4 linked regions of the Sus scrofa genome follow. The protein of the gene in region 2 purifies or fractionates together with the protein of the main gene of each other region. This does not show direct contact. Links are inferred from orthologs where the notes say so. Each region holds a gene or a part of one and is shown on either strand. Other genes may lie near its edges.

What was found.
Region 1: the proteins of HDAC11 (region 2) and PAXBP1 purify together in Homo sapiens (co-immunoprecipitation; 3 studies listed by BioGRID and IntAct, counting the BioPlex papers as one, with this or other methods). This does not show direct contact. The link is inferred for Sus scrofa from reciprocal best matches to the Homo sapiens genes HDAC11 and PAXBP1.
Region 3: the proteins of HDAC11 (region 2) and GCFC2 purify together in Homo sapiens (co-immunoprecipitation; 3 studies listed by BioGRID and IntAct, counting the BioPlex papers as one, with this or other methods). This does not show direct contact. The link is inferred for Sus scrofa from reciprocal best matches to the Homo sapiens genes HDAC11 and GCFC2.
Region 4: the proteins of HDAC11 (region 2) and ATG2B purify together in Homo sapiens (co-immunoprecipitation; 3 studies listed by BioGRID and IntAct, counting the BioPlex papers as one, with this or other methods). This does not show direct contact. The link is inferred for Sus scrofa from reciprocal best matches to the Homo sapiens genes HDAC11 and ATG2B.

What each region holds. Positions count from the first base shown.
Region 1 is NC_010455.5:196,343,045-196,347,743, reverse strand, and holds part of PAXBP1 (PAX3- and PAX7-binding protein 1), read left to right. Parts: intron 1-550; coding exon 551-627; intron 628-1,007; coding exon 1,008-1,074; intron 1,075-4,699. UniProt on the Homo sapiens protein: Adapter protein linking the transcription factors PAX3 and PAX7 to the histone methylation machinery and involved in myogenesis.
Region 2 is NC_010455.5:70,876,322-70,881,483, forward strand, and holds the start of HDAC11 (histone deacetylase 11), read right to left. Parts: upstream 3,543-5,162; 5' UTR 3,438-3,542; coding exon 3,436-3,437; intron 3,400-3,435; exon of another isoform or gene 3,310-3,399; intron 2,491-3,309; coding exon 2,342-2,490; intron 1-2,341. UniProt on the Homo sapiens protein: Responsible for the deacetylation of lysine residues on the N-terminal part of the core histones (H2A, H2B, H3 and H4).
Region 3 is NC_010445.4:67,550,310-67,555,008, reverse strand, and holds part of GCFC2 (GC-rich sequence DNA-binding factor 2), read right to left. Parts: intron 3,490-4,699; coding exon 3,358-3,489; intron 1-3,357.
Region 4 is NC_010449.5:117,534,057-117,538,755, reverse strand, and holds part of ATG2B (autophagy-related protein 2 homolog B), read left to right. Parts: intron 1-444; coding exon 445-615; intron 616-2,467; coding exon 2,468-2,609; intron 2,610-2,841; coding exon 2,842-3,044; intron 3,045-3,779; coding exon 3,780-4,006; intron 4,007-4,699. UniProt on the Homo sapiens protein: Lipid transfer protein required for both autophagosome formation and regulation of lipid droplet morphology and dispersion.

The sequences.
Region 1 (4,699 bases), about 130 Mb from region 2:
GCCCTGCTCATCACCCTACCCCCGTTCTCAATCGGACTAATCAGACCTCCCTCGAAGAAATGTATTTTTTAGGAAAAAGAACCTAAGACTACTAGAATGGGTAACGACTGACGATATAAATAAGGAAACATTTCAGTAATGTTTAAAACCACTAGGTATTGTTTTATACCTAGTTTCCAAAGTTCAAACTGCTGTCCCAGTGGACATTCTTAGGAGCTGTTTAGACATGGGAAAGTTCTCTTTATCATTGTTTTGTTTTCATTGACCTCATTTTGGAAAAACCAGGGTGTAGGTCTGATCCTAAATCTTTATGTAGCAGAAAAGGGGTTGGACGATTTCTCAGTTGCTTTACTGCTTGATCGTTGATGTGAACTAAGAGTAGTATTAAAAACCTTAGGGCCTTTGGTGGGAAAGGTCAGACATTCGAAACTGTTCACTCAGAGTTGAGTACTCAATTACGTGACTTGGAATATAGCTTATCTTTATTTCCTATAACCTAACTTTGCCCATAACCCTTATTAAAATGCATGGTCTATTTTTAACTTTTTAGGTGTACCTTAAAGCACTTTTATTGAGAATGAGGAGAACTTTAGATGATGATGTATTCATGCCCTTATATCCCAAAAAGTAAGTAACTCCTGAGAACATTAAAGGTGATAGTATTCCGCATTCTCTTTCAGAGAAGGCTTATTAAATTCTGGGAAAACGAAGTATATGTAGCATGAAATACAGACCTTGCCTACGTAGGGTAAGCCTGTAGCCCAGAGAGACTGGCTCAGTGGGGAAGTCGTTCCCTTAAGCAGGGAAAAGCACACAGTGCTTTCTGTTGTCCCCTACCATCTCAGAGTAAATGATTATCCTCTGGAATACAGTTGTTCGGAAATTGAAAAAAATTAGCTCTTTCTTTTGTTCACCTCTTTTACATAGAGAAAGAAATCTTCTAGGAATTAGATGGCACATGAACATATAAAACATTTCATCATGACGTCTTTTTCTTTTTTTCTTAGTGTCTTAGAAAATAAAAATTCTGGGCCTTATTTGTTTTTTCAACGACAGTTTTGGTCTTCAGTTAAGGTACGTGTCTGTGGGCTGTCTAAAAGACTTGAGATTTTGTTTGATTTTCATATATTATTTTAATATTTGGTTAAGTAATTTCATAGGCTTAGATCTATGTCTATATAAAGTTTCCATTTTACAAACTAACTTTATTCCAAAAGTTGATTTGGGTTTGAGGTTTGTAGAGGAGAAAATTCTGAGTTCCATTAAGGAGCAGACGAGACAACACAGTGCCTTACTAAAGCACAGTTATTTTATTCAGCAAGTAGGGTACCAGGTCCTCTTCTAAGTTGGGAGGACCTAGCACTGAGCAAGGTAGAAGTAGAGCCTTCACAGTTGTTTATCGTCCAGCACAATGAACAGATGGCAAACCAGGAATCTCAGGTATGATGAATTTTGAAAAAAGGAATTCAGAGTTTATGGAAGCATATGACAAGGGGTGTAGGAGATTCCTTTCCACCCCGAGAAAGTAATATTTGGGTTGTTAGACCAGCTGAAGAAATGAGTCTTTGGCCCTGAGGTGAGGGAGAGCAGGATATACTAGAACCGAGAGAAGTCTAGAATGGCTAGAGTTAGGGAAGGGACGAGGAGTCTGGATGATAGATAGGGAGCTGTGATTTACATACAGACGTGTCATCACTACCCAGATCAAGATGTGTGACACTTCCATCCTCTCCCCCAAAGCCCCCGTGCCCCTTTGCAGTCAATCCCATCCCTACACTTTGGCTACCACCCCACCGCCTTTTTTTTTTAATTTTATGGCTGCACCATGGCCCATGGAAGTTCCTGGGCCATGGATTGAATCCGAGCCACAGCTGCAACCTATCCTGCAGCCGTGGCAATGCTGGATCCTTTTAACCCACTGTGCTGGGCCAGGGATTAAATCTGTGCCTCCACAGTGACCTGAACCACTGCAGTCAGATTCTTAACCCCCAGTGCCACAGCTTTTTATTGTCCTGTAGTTTTCTTTGTAAGACCATCTTAGAAACGGAATTGTATGCCATCTAGCCTTTTGAGTCTGGCTTCATTCACAACATAATGCATTTGTGGTTTATCAGTGTTGTCGTGCTTTCATTCCGTTTTATTGCTACATGGTATTCAAGTGTATGGTGGGTATACCATAGGATTTTTGGTTTGGATTTTTATCCAAACCCCAGTTGAGAGATGTTGCACTGTTTCCAGTTTGGAGTAATTATGAATAACCCGTTTGTGTACAGGTTTTTTGGGTATGTACATTTCGGTTCACTTGGGTAAACGCCTGGGCAAGACTGTTTTCTGGACCGACAGTGCATTCGTGTTCTAGTTCATCTTCTTTCTCACCACTCACCACACTTGGTATCTTCAGGGGTTTTATTTTTTTTTTTAAGTTTTTTACTGGGTGTATAGTTGTGTTTGCGGTTTTAATTTGTATTTCCCTAATGACTGATGACGCTGAGCATGTTTTCATGTGCTTATTTACCATTTGTATATCTTTTTTGGTGAAGTACCTATTCAGATCTGTGGCTCATTTTTAAAAATTAGGCTTTCTTTCCTTTTTTGTTTATTTTTTTTGCAGAGAGTGCACATTTTAATGAAACCACCATGCTTACTATTTCCAGATTCTTCGTACATTTAAAATCAGATAGACTGAATAAACTACTTATTTTCTTTTCAATGTTTTGCAGTCACAAAATAGTATCACTCTTCTCTACTACTGCATAGGAAATTCTGGAAAGATAGCAGCATGTTATTTTCGGCCTAAAAATATGCTCTTCTCAAATACAGTGATAAAGCAATAGAAAGTGAAAATTATAGCAAGAGGAAGAAGAGCACCTATAAACGTGCATGGAATACACCTATACCAAACCATCAAATTGGGTTTTCTTATTACTGAGCTTTGGTGTATGTATTCTTGATATAAGTACTTCGTCACAGACATGATTTGCAAAGAGTGTTCCCCCCAGGCCGTGGCTTGTCTTCATCCTTTTTCCAAGTGCAGAGGTTCTTCATTGTGATGAAGTCCCGTTTATTACTTTTTCCTGTTTTGGATCGTGCTTTAGGTGTCATATCTAAGAAGTCTTTGCCTGACACAGGGCCGCAAAGTTTGTCTCCTGTCCTTTCTTCTGGGTGTTTCATGAGTTTAGGTTTTTACATTTACGTCTGTGATGGATTTTGAGTACATTGTTACAGAGGGCGTGAGGCCTCGATTGCTGTTTGTTTGTCCTAGTGTGGTTTGTTGAGAAGACTTTTTTTTTTTTTTTTTTAATTAAATTCCTTTTGTACTTTGAAAATCAGCTGACCTTATGTGGGTCATGGAAGGTTTTTAGTACTTTGCCATTTTTAAGATCATCTGGCTGCTCTGTGAGGGTAATGGATTGACGTAGGTAAAAATAGTAGTAGTGAGAGTGAGAATTAGTGTTTATTACATATTCACTGCGTGCCAAGCACCGTACCACACCCTTAATATAGGTTATCTTGTTGAATCCTCACAATAGGCCTGTGAGCTTGACATAATTGCTCTCACTCTGCAGAGGCACAGGATAACCTGCCAGGCTCCTCCTCTGTTTAGTGGGAGAGATGGGAGTCTCACTCAAGCCAGTCTGACGCTGGAGCGGCTCTTCTTCACTGGGGTTTTCTGAGAGAATTCATACTCGATACCCTATGGCTTCCAATATGTATGCATCTAGAATGGTTCTAGCTTGTGCTATCCCTGGGAGAATTAAGTAAGGACTCAGCTCATTTTCTGTAGGCTTCAGTTCTCTCAAAGAACTGTGCGTGAGAAAAACTCTACCAGAGCTCCTGCTCACCGCCACTGGAGTAACTGCAGGGTCTGGAGGAGACGGTGGCAGCTGAGATGGGGGGTGACGGTGGGAGTCCAGAGATGTATGGGGGAGGGGTCAGGAATGGCAAGCAGGCTCTGGCCTGATTGGATAGATAGTGTTGCCATTTCCTTGAGATGAGAAATACTGGGAACTTAGGCATGTTTATGGTGGAGTGGGCTGGGGTTTCCACTTTATGTGTATTGAGGTTAAGTAGCTTCTGATGTCTGGTTGATGAGGTCTGGTAAAGGTGCGATGTGGTTCGAAAAGAAATCTCCAGGAGTTCCCATCCTGGCTCAGTTGTTAATGAATCCGACTAAAAACCATGAGGTTGCAGGTTCAATCCCTGCCTTGCTCAGTGGGTTAAGGACCTGGCGTTGCCGTGAGCTGTGGTGTGGGTCGCAGACGAGGCTTGGATCCCGAGTTGCTGTGGCTCTGGCGTAGGCCAGCGGCTGCAGCTCCATTCGACCCCTAGCCTGGGAAGCTCCATATGCCTCGGGAGTGGCCCAAGAAATGGCAAAAAGAAAAGAAAAAGAAAAGAAAAGAGATCTCCATCTTCTGTGGGAGCCATAGGGACTGGTCGAGGCATGATTTTCAAGGAGGACTTGTGCCTAAGCAGCAGCACTTGCCCACTAATGGAAAATGTTTTGTTATCAGTATTGTCCACTACAGTGACCACTGGCTCCATCTCCCTTTTACATTTCCCTTCATCTCAGTCATTCTGGGAAATATTCAGACCCTTTACAGCTGCTTATTACTGCTTAGGCAAGACCTGGTCCACTGGATTTCATTATTGTGTTACTAATTTACTTTAGACATAATTTAATTGCTTAACATTATGTCTC
Region 2 (5,162 bases):
CCAGGCCAGTGCAAAACAGGCCAGGGGGCATTGGACACTGTGCATAGCGATCCCAGCGTCTCCCAGGCCTCTGACAGCTGTGGGTGAGCTCAGGTGTGACAGGACAACGTTCAGAGGCAGGTGGTACATGGGTCTCATGTTGACTCTCAAGGCCAGAAAAGCTCTTCTGGTCAATTCTCTCTCCACCTTGGGATGACATCGCAGGAGTTTTATTTGGGGGGGGCTCTCTTTAACTCCCACCTGACCTTTGCTCATCTCCCCTTTTCAAAGCCCCCAAAGCAGCAGTTTTACAGCCTGCCAGCAAAGGAAGGAGCTTGAGCTGAAATGTGCTGTTGTTCTCACTGCATTTATTTTTTACCATGAACTTCTATTTATGGCAAATAAAAGTGGCTTTTTTCCATTGATATGACATAATGTTTCCTTTAAATACAAGTTTAAGTTTTTAAAAACAAAGGCTGGAGTTCCCATCATGGCTCAGAGGGTTAAGAACCCAACTAGTATCCATGAGGATGTGGGTTCGATCCCTGGTCTTGCTCAGTGGGTTAAGGATCTGGCCTTGCTGTGAGCTGTGGTATAGCTCACAGACTGCTCTCAGATCCTGTGTTGCTGTGGCTGTAGACCAGCAGCTGCAGCTCAGAATCGACCCCTAGCCTGGGAACTTCCATATGCCGTGGGTATGGCCCTAAAAAGAAAAAAAAGGCTGAGCCAATAAAAACTACGAAGTCAATAACAGAACAGGCAGTGTGAGGCCATGGCAAGTCCCCAAGAGTGATCTGCAAACAACTGATGTTTGGGAAACTCTTGGTTATTTCATCACCCCCCCCACACACACACCAGACAAGACTTGCTCCATTTGGCAAAAAAGACACTGAAGCAGAAAGAAGGAAGTGTTCAAGGGCATAGCAACGACAAGAGCATGATGCTCTGGCTCTAGCAAAATCAAAGGACAAGGTCAGAATGTAGGGGACCTGTTTGCTTGTGTTACCTTTAGAAACCAACCCTGGTAGAAACCAGCTAGCTCCATACATTTTCGACAAATAGCATCACATATAGCAGGTATCCCCCCCCCCCAACCATTCCATGGCTGCAAAGAGCCAGCTCTTTCCTTGGCACCCTAAGACCTTCCCCATGTGGCCCTGCCTCCTTTCTACCCACAGCCTCAGAGGAGAAAGGAAGGAGCTCAGGAAGACAGTCAGCTCAGAGGAGGGGGAGGGGACAAGGAAACCTTTGGTCAAGCTACTGGGTGACACAGGAACCCAAGAAGGGGCAATGGGGGGAGTGACTTGGGCCGGCTGGCAGCAGAGCACAAAGGACCACGTTCAGGAAGGCCAGAGAATACCCGGGGTGAGGCGGGCTGGTTGCGCTCACCCTGCCACAGCTCTCGCCATGGCTGCACGCTGCTGTACTCGTTTCTGCTTAGTATTTTTCTTTGAAGACTCTGGTCACTATTGCAAATGGAAAATCACTACCGCTTGCCATAAACAGAAGTTGACCAAAAATAGAAATACAGAAACAAGTAAGTGTTATTAATCTCTGGTTTGATTCTATTTTCTACAAGGTGCAGACGCTGGGGTTTGTTCTAGACTGGTTAAAAAGGGAGATGCTCTGACGTATTAAAGTTGGACAAGCTCCAAAGTGAAACTTTCCCCATGGTGTAATCAGGATTGTGTGATTTAAAGATACTCAATACTTCACCCTATGCAGGTAGCACTTCAGGTAACATTTCCTACCTCCTTCAGTTAAAGAAACCTCAATACAGGGAGCTAGAATAGTCTTTTCACCAGAGTACTATGACGCCTGAACTGTCTCCACCTTAACCAGACACCTGGATTACAAATCGCAGTTTGAAGAGTGAAGGGGAGGCGTCTGGAGCTCTGATTTCCAGACTCCATTCTCCCACTTAAGAGCTGTGTGTCTTTGGGCACGTTTTCTAACCTTCCTAGGCCCCAGTTTTCTCCACTTGTAATCAGTGGGGTCAGAGCAAAGGTGGTCCACCTCCTGGACTCTAGGAGCCTGTGGGTTACTGACAGTGCATTCCTCCAAATGGCAGCTTCCCTGGGCCCATGGTAAACAGCTTTCCCGCTACTGGGCCTCCAGGGGCAGAGACTGGCTTCAGGCCCCCAGCCATAGGGAGCCAGTGCAGGTGTGATACAGGGGCATAGCCTGCTTAGAAATTGGTGTTGGAAACATCCTTTTGACAGCACAGGTGGGAGGCAGCCTGAGGGCTGACATTGCAGGTGGGAGGCTTGGAAGCCGGTGTTTGGGAAAGACGGCGGGGGGTGGGGGGGTGGCAGGTGGGTTGGAGGAAGCAGATGCAGGGTGCAAGTGGGGCCTTCCATACCTTTGAGGAAGCTGATCACTTTGCCCCATTTTCCTGCATCAAAGGGGTGCAGCTTTTCCAGGCCCATGAAGGTTATGTTGTAGCGCGGTGAGTACACAATGGGCCAGCGCGTCTCCGGCACATGCTGGTACAGCTGGGTTGTGTGTGGCCTTCCATGAGCAGAGAGACAGACACACACAGACAGGGACAATCTCAGTGTGGGAAACTGCCTCCCCTTCTGCACCAGCAGGCTCTGATTGAACAGACAGTCCTGATCCAGTCCCGCAGCTCCCTCAGCGGCAGAAAAAGGGCCACTTAGCAACAGCAGCAACAATAATAATAGAGCTCCTCCCTGAGCTTGCGCACTCTCCAGCCCAGTCCTCGCAGCCGCCCCTGTAGTATGTAGGCACCACCATCCCAGCAGAGGCGGGAGAGGGGACCAGGTGTGTCCAAGATCACACAGGGCCTGTGGAGCAGCGGATGTGCACCCAGGTGTGTCTGGCTATAAGGCCTCAGAGCCTCACCTCTACACGATAACAAAACAGCCAACAGCTGTGTGGCTTTAGGCCTCGCTTTCCTCAACTGTAAAATGTGTGGCTGTAGGGAGGCTTGAGATAATGCGTCTAACGACCGAGCACAGAAAGCGCCCTATATCTGAGAGCTGGTGGTGGCAGTTCCAAGAAACAGCAGGTCGCGGCTCCCGCTGGCTGCGGCCCAACCCAGAGCTAGGAATGGGGGTCACTTCGGCCCCGCCGCGCAGCTCACCCCCACCAGACACACACCTCCCCGGCCGCTGCGACACAGGGAAAAGAAACCCTGCTGCCACTGCGGGGGCCTCCGCACAGCCAGTGGAGCCCGAGGGCAGACGTCAGACCCGCGCGCGTCGCGGGCCGGCGCCGGTTCCAGAGGCCGCAGATTAGTGGCGCGGGGCTGGCCCTACATGCGGGGCCGGCCTGAGCACACGCGGCCCGAGCGGTAGCCCTCCATACCTGGGCCCGACTTGGCGGGCTCTCCCAGCCGCCTGCGCATTGGTACTCCCACCCAGAGGAACCCTTGGGAACCCTCAGGGCTTGGCCCAGCGCCCCACCCCGCGACCCCACCCCCGCCACACTCACATCCCGGGACCTGGCCCTCCCTGCGCGGCCACTGCTCCTCAACCGGGCGGGGCGGGGCCGCCGGGGCCGCCCCGCCCAGGACACGCCCCCGGCCTCGGCCGCCTCCGCTAGGGGCGGTGCTCCGAAGGCTTGGCTCCGCCCCGCCCCCACCCGCGCTGCGTCACAGAGGGCTGGAGTCCCGCGCGGAGCTCTTGGGGGGAAACAGCCACGCCCCCAACTCCCATCAAGCGCGAAATTCCGCCTTCCGGGGACAAATATCCAGTGGGATCGCGCCTGGCTCATAAGCCACGCCCCTTAGGGGGAGGGCAGCTCGTCACAGTTGGAATGGAAAGCATGGTCCCGGCCCTGGGGAGGGGCCACGTTATGCCCCGCCTTGGGCCGCTCGTCCTTTCTGCGCTGTGTGAAAGCTGGAAGATCCTAAGAGATAGAAATGCCAGGCTTCCTAGCAGAGCTGTGTGACCTTGGTCAAGCGTCTGCGCTCTGGGGTCTCTGTTTCCACGAGTAAAATGGGAGCGTGGGGGCCGTGTGTTCTGGCCCTGACATCTCTGACTTAATGAGATCCACGACCTCTCTGACTTGAGGAACATCCCCTCGCAACTCCCCAGCCCCATCCTTGGTAGTTCTGACAAGCGACAAGCGCTCGCTCCCCACGTAGTCACTTAGGCTCCCTAAGCCTCAGTGTCCTTATCGGTAGAACCAGGCTGGTGATCCAGTCTTCAGAGTACAGTTGTTTATCTGCACACCCCCCCTCCCCCACCTCGGGAAGCCAAGACAAGCCCCGCTGACAGCTGAGAGTGTCTTGGGGGTGGACACTGGTAGGAGCGCCAACAATTGAGCCCCAGAGGACAGAGACAACGGGCTTCTCTGTTGGCCCAGCTGCCCCGCCCATCAAACAGAAGCAGCTGACCCCAGGGCTGCCCGGAGCAGGGCAGCTGGGATCCCTAGTGGCTCCGTGAGAGCGTCGGTGTGACAGGGTGCAGCACTGTAAGGAAAGGGCCCAGGCATTTGAACAGTGCCCTCCACGTGCCCGTCCCTTGATTACATGATGATACTAGATTCTCACAACCTAATACCTCCAGAGGGTACCATCATCACCCCACTTTCATCAGGAGGTAACTGAGGTTGAGGTCTGGGTTAAAACCAGACTCCCGCCCTTGCTGTGGCCTTAAGCCACTGGCTTTGGCTTTCTGACCCTTAATTTTGTGTCTGAAAACGAAGTCATGGCTACCCCTTCACCCCGTGGGGAAGTTGAGAGAATCAAAAGAGATGATCATGCTGATTATTATTTAAACAACATGTAGTGTGTGCTAGGTTCAATTCTAAAAGCTTTGTGCTCATTTGATCCTTACTGCAACCCTGAGAAACTGGTTATCCCCATTTTACCGATGAGGAAACTGGGGCACAGAATGAAGTCATTTGCCCAAAGGTCAGGAATGTGAATAGATAAACTATAGCCACAGAAAGAAAAAGTTAATATTGAATAATAGCAACAAGGGAGAAATTGCACACAGTGGCCTTGTATTCCCTGAGAGTGACTGAATTCATCTCAGGGAGCTTGCTCTGTGGTTGGGGAAGCCACATGGATGAACTTCTTGTTGAGAGAACAAAGATCTGGGGCAGACTAGATCCAGGCCCTGAGGCCAAAAAGAGTGAGATTGCTCTGGGTAAGAGAGTTTTTTAGGTTGTGGCCTGTGTGGCTGAGGAGGGAGGTTGTCTGGGGAGCCCCG
Region 3 (4,699 bases), on a different chromosome or scaffold from region 2:
TAACTAAATGACTCAAAATCTGTATCAATAACAGAAGATAATTACTTTGATAGAGATTAAATATGAGAAATGAACCAAATCTAGAAATATCAGAAAACACACTGAAACCACTCCAGTTTATCCTTTAAATCTCTTTTTCATCAAGTGTTGTTGCTGACTTTTTGTTGAGGGGGGGCTAGCTATTTCTCATTTCCGGAAGCTCTGAGATTATCATGGTAGGGTTCTGCAAGAAGGCCCTGAATTTTGTCTTGCCTGTTCTAATGATTTTATTGTGATGTGAATTCAGGCAAGAAGACATCTATAAAGCTAGGAGGTATAGCTAGTATTAATCTAAAGCGGAATTAAAATTCAAAACCACCACAACAGGTTAAGTTAGCATTGCTTGACCCTGGCTACATGTTAGAATCACCCGGGAAGGCTGATAATGACAACTAGGCTCCCATTCCAGAGATTTAGATTCAGTTGTTCTGAGGCAGAGATGAGCAACAGTATTTTTCTTTTTTTTTGCTTTTTAGGGCCACACCCATGGCATATGGAACTCCCCAGGCTAGGGGTTGAATGTGAGCTATAGCTGCCAGCCTATGCCACAGCAGCTTGGGATCCCAGCCACGAATGGCACCTATACCACAGCTCATGGCAATGCTGGATCGCTGACCCACTGAGCAAGGCCAGGGATCCCTTGGCCTCATGGATCCTCATCCTCATGGATACTAGTTGCATGCATTTCTGCTGTGCCACGATGGGAACTCCCAGAAGTATGTTTTTATAGCCCCCTAAGAGATTTTAACGTGCCACCAGGGTTAAGATGATACACGTTAAGTTCAAATAATCAAGTGTATGAACACAGAAACAGAAATACTTGAACTTCTATCTGCGACTGACTTGGTGGGGTTTAAGTGATGAATCACAAGCAATGGACTCACTAGTGAGATACTAGTGTTACACAAAGCTAATCTTCTTTCAAGTTACAATAAATAAATAGAAGTTCAGGGAGTTTCTGCTTTGGCTCAGAGGAAACAAATCTGACTAGTATCCACGAGGGTGTGGGTATGATCCTTGGCCTTGCTCAGTGGGTTGGTGATCCAGTGTTATTATGAGCTGTGGTGTAGGTTGCAGACATGGCTTGGATCCCCAGTTGCTATGGTTGCAGTGAAGTCCAGCAGCTGTCCGATTCGACCCCTAGCCTGGGAACTTCCATATGCCATGGGTGCAGCCCTAAAAAGCAAAAAAGAAAAAAAAAGAAAAGAAACGAACAAGAAAGAGAAGAGATTTCTATCCTGTCCCATCTATATCCAACACCTAGCTCAAGGGTTCCCACACAGTACATGCTGGTCAAACATGGGATGAATTAATGTTAGCATACTGCTTCATGAAAATGAAAACACTATGTTTTCACAGATTTACAACTCATACATAATTTTCACATGTCGTCCTATCTAGGGGCAGAGGTCAGGAGGGAGTGAAGATGGGAGAGTAGGAAGGCATGGAGCTCATTTCCCCCCACAAACACATCAAAAATACATCTACATGTGGAACAATCCTCACAGAAAGCCAACTGGAAACTGGCAAATTTCTCATATAGCAATAGGACATCAAAATCACAAAATATGGGAGGGGAATATAAAAATATATGTTTTTAGAATGTTTGAACTTGCATGACTTATTATCTTAAAGCATATAGATATAGTTACGGATCAATATATTTGAACCCTATGGCAACCACAAATATGGGGGAGGGGAATATAAAATATAGATTTTTTTAGAATGTATATGAACGTGTATGACTATCGTCTTTTTTTTTTTTTTTTTTTTTTGCTTTTTTTTTACAGCCACACATGTGGCATATGGAAGTTCCCAGGTTAGCAGCTGAACTGGAGCTGCAGCTGCCAGCCTACACCATGGCCACAGCAATGCAGGATCCGAGCTGCGTCTGTGACCTACACCACAGCTCATGGCAATGCCGGATACTTAACTCACTGAGCAAGGCCAGGGATTCAACCCGCATCCTCCTGGTTACTGGTTACTAGTTGGGTTTGTTACTGCTGTGCCACAATGGGAACTCCCAAATATTGCCTTCTCTCCTTTAGATTCCCAGTGCTACCAACACTTTACAATGACTGCCTTACATTATCTAATCTGCCATCTTCTACAGCAGCACTGTTCAGTATAGTAACGACCAGCCATATGAGAGTATTTAAATTTAAAAACACAGCTCCTTAGCCACACTATCACATTTCAAAAGTCTATAGCCACATGTGGCTAGTGGCTAATGTACTAGAAAGTGAAGATATAGAACCTTCACAAAGAGTTCTCTGGGACTTGGACAGCACTGTATCTACAGTCTAGACAAAGCTTCGTTTGTCCACTAGGCTTTAATTCTTTATATTGGCTTCATCCCTAAGTACTCCTGTAGCTTGTGAACTTCAGACAAATCATCTGGTTCCTACTATGTCATATGTTAATAAAATGCTTACTACTGTATTACGAATCCTTAAAAATATATTTTAATAATTACATTTCAAATTAACTTGTTTTCTTTATAAAGCAATGCAGTTTGTAGTTCATTTTTCTTAGAAGAGGTCTAGGCTTCCTGAAACTGAAGAGAGTCCACAGCACAAGACAAGTTAACAACACTTGAGCTAGAGTAGAAGGTCAGGTAAATATTTCCAGCTTTTTGGGCCATAAAGTCGTAAAGTCTTCTCATCTGTGCCATCATAGTGCAAAAACAGCCACAGATAATACATAACTGAATAAGCATGGCTTTAATAAAACTTAATTCACAAAAGCAGATAATGGGCCAGATGTGGCTCACAGGAGGTAACCTGCCAACCCCTGGATTGGGCTTATCTCTGTAAAACACAAAAATGGTCATGTCATCGCTTCGCATAACATTTTCAGCAGTTCCCTCAAAACCTATTATCTGACTCTAATTTGTTCCTCTGCGTTCATTTTGCTCTTTTTTAAACTTGAATCAAGTATTTTCTGTCCAACAACTACTTTTAATTTTCACATGCGATGCTATCTTCTCTAGAGTTTTACATATGCTACATTCTGTACCTGAAACAGCCTCACAAATTCTTAACACCTTTCAGACAAGGGCATGAATCAGCTAGTATAGCACAGTAGTTAAGAACATTGCCTCTGGAGAGGATTGCCTGGGTCTGAATCCTAGCTATGCCTCCTATAAGCCATCAGACCTTCGGCATGTTACACAATGGGAATGAGCAATCAATTTTGGCACTTTGACAATCATTAATGACTTACTTGCCTTAGACTTCACTGGAGTTTACCAATAATAACAATCACTAGCATAAAATACTAGTATTAGAAATAAAGTTCTTAACCAAAATTACCAACCTGTTGATAAAAATTCTTCTTCTTCTTCCAGAGAGCTAGAGCTGTTGGAAGATGAACTCTGATCATCTTTGCTTTCTGAAGAATGATGTATTCCATCCTCTCTGTCTGTTGAAAGATCAACTGTTCTGGATTCTAAGAGGACATTTTTTAAATATAATAAGAAAGAGTCAAGACGTTGGAATCAATAATTGAAATTCTGAACAATACATGGCACATATAAAATACGGTGTTTTCATTTTACTCCACATACTTAAATTAAGGTAGATCTAATGCAGATCTGTCCCTAACTTCCATTCTTTCTGAAATCAACAGATGGTCTGATAAATGTACAAGGGCTTATCCTATTTGCACTATCTACTTAACTAGTAAAATCCTCCCTTAAAGAATGAAATGAAAAGAGGAAAGGGAACATAGGAGAAACAAAATGACAAGAAATGAAGGAATATTTAAGACAGTGAGGAAAGCAGTGGTAGCAAATAAGTAAAAAAAGAAAAGAACACTTCACATACACTACACTAGTATGTACTAGGCATACTGAAGTCTGTTTCACAAGGTATGTTTCATTTAATGCAATTCTATAAAGTAAATGCTATTACTGATGAGGACACTAAGGAATGGAGAGGCTAAATAACAAAGTGTCACAAAGTTATTAAATGCAGAAGCAGGGCTTTCAATCTAATTTCATCCAACTCTGGAATTTAGGCTCTCATAAATATTATGACACATATCAAGGGCTGGTGGTTAAGGAGTACTATAACGAGCACTGTGGTCTCAAACCAAATCATAAATCTATTTCCACTGTACGATTCTGGAAAGGACACAGTCAATTAATCTATTAAAGGTAATATTCAATGATAACTCTCACAGAGGTATTCAAGAACTGAATGAACAAAATGTAAAGGAATTCATGGTATTATTGACAAAGAAAGGACTTGTTAATTCACAATTATTTTGTCATATTTGTGAATAACCTTAAAACTCAAGATTACATAAATAGTACTCTTTACCTTAAAAACATCCCTTAATTAGATGTTTATATCCCTTATACATTTCAAAAAAGTCTAGAGTTAAGAAACCAAACTTAAAAGACAGAGGAAAATAGCTACAGTTTACATCTTTCTTAGCTACTGCTATTTATGACAACTCCTATATCTTCCTAAAGTGAAGAAAAGTTACACCAAAGCAATGGTTCTTAAGAGTATAGTCCATCAACCCTTAGAGGTCTCTCGAACACTTTTAGACAGCTATAAGCCAAAACTGCTTCCATCACACTATTAACATGTTACACACACTTTACCATTGATATTTACAAAATGAAGTAAAAACAGGGGTTGGTAAAACT
Region 4 (4,699 bases), on a different chromosome or scaffold from region 2:
GGGTCCAGTCAGAGCTCTAGCTGACACTCCATGACGACTGCATGACCACTGCAATGCAGGATCCAAGCCACGTCTTCGGCTACGCCACAGCTCACAGCAACGCTGGATCTTAACCCACTGAGTAAGGCCAGGAATCAAACCCGAGTTGTCATGGATGCTAGTCGTGTTCGTTACTGCTGAGCCACTGTGGGAACTCCTAGACCTATTTTTTTTTAATGGAAGAGAATGAAAACATACTAAACTTACTGTGTAATTATTTTTACACTTACCTAACTTTGGTCAGAAATAGGTAAAATATTTTAAAATTAAGACTGAGCTATTATAAATACTTATTTCCTTTAGCAAGACAAATTACCATGTTTCATTTAATGTAAACTTATGCAGAAATTTTTTTCCTCTTGTTCTGGAAAACATTTTTATCCTTTTTTCCCATATCCTGTCCAGACTGAGCCACGCTTTGAGTTACACTGTTCGAGTGACGTTGTCCATATTAGAACATGCTCAGACTCTTGTGCTGCGTTAATGAATCTCATTCAGTATATTGCAAGCTATGGGGACTTACATGCGGCTAACAGGGCGGACATGAAGCCTGGAGCCCCTCAAAGAAAGATGAAGGTACAGCTGCCAACCTACTCCTCAGAACTCACTCAGCCCCACCCCATGCCAGCCACATGAGTGGCATGTTTGCGTCATTGAGGTCTGCTTGAGAGTCATAGGATGGAAGGGAACCTTTGAGCAATCATCTGTCTGTTCCTTACTTTCAGAGTGGTGGAGTCTGGAAAGGTGATTCCGTGGGCCTTTTTGGAAAACTGTTTTACTCTTTGATATTCTTTGTTTCAGGACGTTAATCTTCTCAATCAATGTACGTTTTCCCAGACTTAAATTATTTTCATGTGTCCTCAGGGAAGGAAGAAAATATTTTATCATGTGACAGCCTGTTGTATTACAAGTTGTATATAAAAGATGCTGTAAGAAGATAGACAGCAGGAATTAAGATTATTACCAAGGACTTATTTTATATAATATCATCTGTATTTGTTATCTAGCGCACCATCCAGTTTTGAGTGTACTTTCTCATATGTGATGCCTTTTACCCAGGGCGCTAGAGAGGTTAAACATGGCCATCTCTCTTTTGCAGATGAATGTGGTAAGACCCAGAGAACTTAGGTGACTTGTCCTAGTTAGTAGCAGACTCAGCAGCAATCCCCAGATATTTTGATTCTCAGTTCAGTGCTTTCTTATGGCCCCATCTGTCACCGCTCTGCCCTGTCTTGAACAATATGCAGTTTGTTTAGCATTTTCTATTTTTTCAGTGTTTTCATTCTTCTTCATGGCCTCTTCTGTGAAGAGATTTTTCGAACCGTTAGGTTAATGCAACCTCTGCTAAGGGACGGATAGGCCTTGCGTTGTCTGTCATTCAGGTTGATCTTACACCTCATTTGTGTTACACTTCTGTTTTTGTTTCCTCGCTCCTGCTACATTCTCCTTGGTAATAAAGTGATTTAATGACACACTTTCTCTCCTGTTGCTTCTTAAAAGTTATTTTAAATTATCCCTTTTTCTAATGGGATCTTTCCATTTTGGAGTCATGCTGATATTTTTTAAAGCCTGGTTTGGGTTTAATGAATCACAGTTCACTAACAAAAACGGTTAAGCATCTGTGATGGAATTGAAAGCCATGAATTACCATTTAGTAGATTTCCCCTCTTAGCTCTACCCCCTACTGTCTTTAAGTGTCTGTCTGTTCCACGAAATGAGGCTCTGACCTCCAGTGGCTTTGTCTCAGAGGGTGAAGGTCATGGCAACTATCAGATTTAAGCAGATCACACTCCCTTAGACAGATCTCCTCTCCTTCAGCTTTATTGCACTTTTTTCCACTTTCCTTCTCTACTCTTGTATTAATGTGTCAAGATTCCAGTTCACTCTGCTGGCTTTCAGATCAAAACACATTTATTCCTATTTTCCAGGAGTTGTTGGAAGTGAAAATGATGATACTAAAAACTTAAAATGAACGCAGCACATGTAACAGCTGCTGGGGGAGAATATAGAAAAATGAATATGTTCCTCTTTCTGGTTTTTTTATTTACTTACTTACTTACTTATTTATTTATTGTCTTTTTGCCTTTTTCTAGAGCCACTCCTGCGGCATATGGAGGTTCCCGGGCTAGGGGTCTAATTGGAGCTGTAGCTGCTGGCCTACACCACAGCCACAGCAATGTGGAAACTGAGCCGCATCTGCGACCTACACCACAGCTCACGGCAATGCCGGATCCTCAACCCCCTGAGCAAGGCCAGGGATCGAACTCACAACCTCGTGGTTCCTAGTTGTATTCGTTAACCACTGCACCACAACGGGAACTCTGCTGGTGTTTTTTAAATGTAGTGTATTTCTAGGACAAAATAATGTTAAGTAATTTGCTTCTTAGAGCATTTTTCAGTTGTTTTTAATGAAGTTTTTTGGCTGTAGGTAGATTCTAGTGGCCGATCATCCTCACGTGGTCCAGTACTTCCTGAAGCAGATCAGCAGATATTACGAGATTTGATGAGTGACGCTATGGAGGAGATTGATATGCAAGAAGCTGCTTCGTCTGTAAAACCACAGTCTAACGGTGAGACAGACCAGGACATTTTCTCTGGAAGCTGTGAATTTGTAGTGGAGGCTTATATTTTTTGTGTTCTTACAAATTCTTCAATAAGTAACTTATCAAAGAAAAAAACAAGCCTGAGCTTTGGTGGATGTTTTAGTCAAACAGCCCGTGTTTAGTGAGTGTCTAGTAGATAAATAATACTGGCCAGAATTGAAAATGTGCCAGAATTGAACCTTGGAATCTTTTTACCTAGGTGTTTTGGATGCGAAGTCTCAAATTCAGGAGCCGTGTTGTTCAGACCTCTTCCTGTTCCCAGATGAGAGTGGGAATGTGTCCCAGGAGCCTGGCCCCACCTATGCCTCATTCACTCACCACTTGACCAGTGATGCAATGACAGGCGCGCCCACAGAGAATGATGACTTTTGCATTCTTTTTGCACCAAAAGCAACCATTCAGGTAATAAATTGATAACAAAATTAAAGTCTTAAAATAGTATTACAATTGAATTGACCAATGGGCACCTGAAAAAGTTTCTCTGGATTTTGTAAACTGTACACTCTTCAGAATTTCTTCCTCTTGTAACTTACTGTTGATGCTTTGTAAATGTTCGAACTTGGCTCCTTTTTCTAAGTCCCTTAGAGACTTAGAAAAATGCTCTCTATTTGTAAAATCTCTGACATGGTTTCTTGAACTACAGAGATAGTATGTAGTAAGATACCTCTTCAGGGTAGTGAAATTAAACGGCAGAAAGAACTTCTGTACAGAGTTGTTACCTAAGAGTTGGGAAGGATAAGATGTACTTTGTGTGAAGGCTGATGGTTTCTTAATATATATAATTTCCATTTTAGCATCATGCTCACATTTAAAAAGCATGGTCTGGACTTAATGAATCCACAGTTCACTAAATAAAATGACTGGGCATTCAATCTGTATCTTTTTATTGGCAAACAAGTAGTAAAAGCCAAATTATAGACTGTAAAAAATTCTTATGGAGTAATTCACATAGAAGAGAGTTCATTTTCTAGTTAATAAAGCAAAACATCTTAAGTGACGATTAATGTATTTGTTATCCTACTTTATGTGTTGAAATTATTGGGAAGAATGCAAAATCAAGAAACCCCTTGGGGTACAGTGTAATTGGTGGTTTCTACTTAGATAAGAGAGTGTGTGCCGTCTGTGTCTTTGTCTTAGGAGAAGGAAGAAGAACCAGTTGTAAAAATAATGGTCGATGATGCAATCGTGATAAGAGATAATTATTTTAGTCTGCCTGTTAAGAAGACAGATACAAGCAAAGCCCCGTTACACTTTCCCATTCCTATAATTCGGTACGTGGTTAAAGAAGTCTCCCTTGTTTGGCATCTTTATGGAGGAAAAGATTTTGGAACAGCCCCTCCTACTTCTCCAGCTAAAAGTTTTATGTAAGTTAATTTCTACGTAAGTTTATTTGGTGGGCCAATATATTCTTTTCATAAAATATTACACAGAATTTATCCTTTAAATAATTCTTAATAAGTAGTATTAAAAACTGTAATTTAACTGTTCCTCTATTGAATAACTATACTCCATTGTATGGTTGATTTACAGTGCTGTGCTAATTTCTGCTGTACAGCAAAGTGATTCAGTTTTTTATACACACACACACACACACATACACACCCCCACACACACTCTTTTTAAAAAAATATTCTTTTCCGTTGTGGTTTATCATAGGACATTGAATGTAGTTCTCTGCTGAACAGTAGGGCCTTGTTTAGTCCCTTCATGTGTAATAGCTTCTACCTGCTAACCCCGGCCTCCCACTCCATCCCTACCTCAACGCACTCCCTTTGGCAACCACAAGTCTGTCCTCCTTGTCTGTGAGTCTGTTTCTGTTTCCTAGATAGGTTCATTTGTGTCATATTTTAGATTCCACATGTAAGTGTTATCCTGTGGTACTTGTCTTTCTCTTTCTGACTTCACTTAGAATGATAATCTCTAGGTCCGTCCATGTTGCTGCAAATCTTTTCTTTTTATGGCTGAGTAGTATTCCATTGTATATATGTACTATGTTTTCTTTATCCATTTGTCTGTCAATGGACATCAAAGTTGTTTCCATGTCTTGGCTATTATGA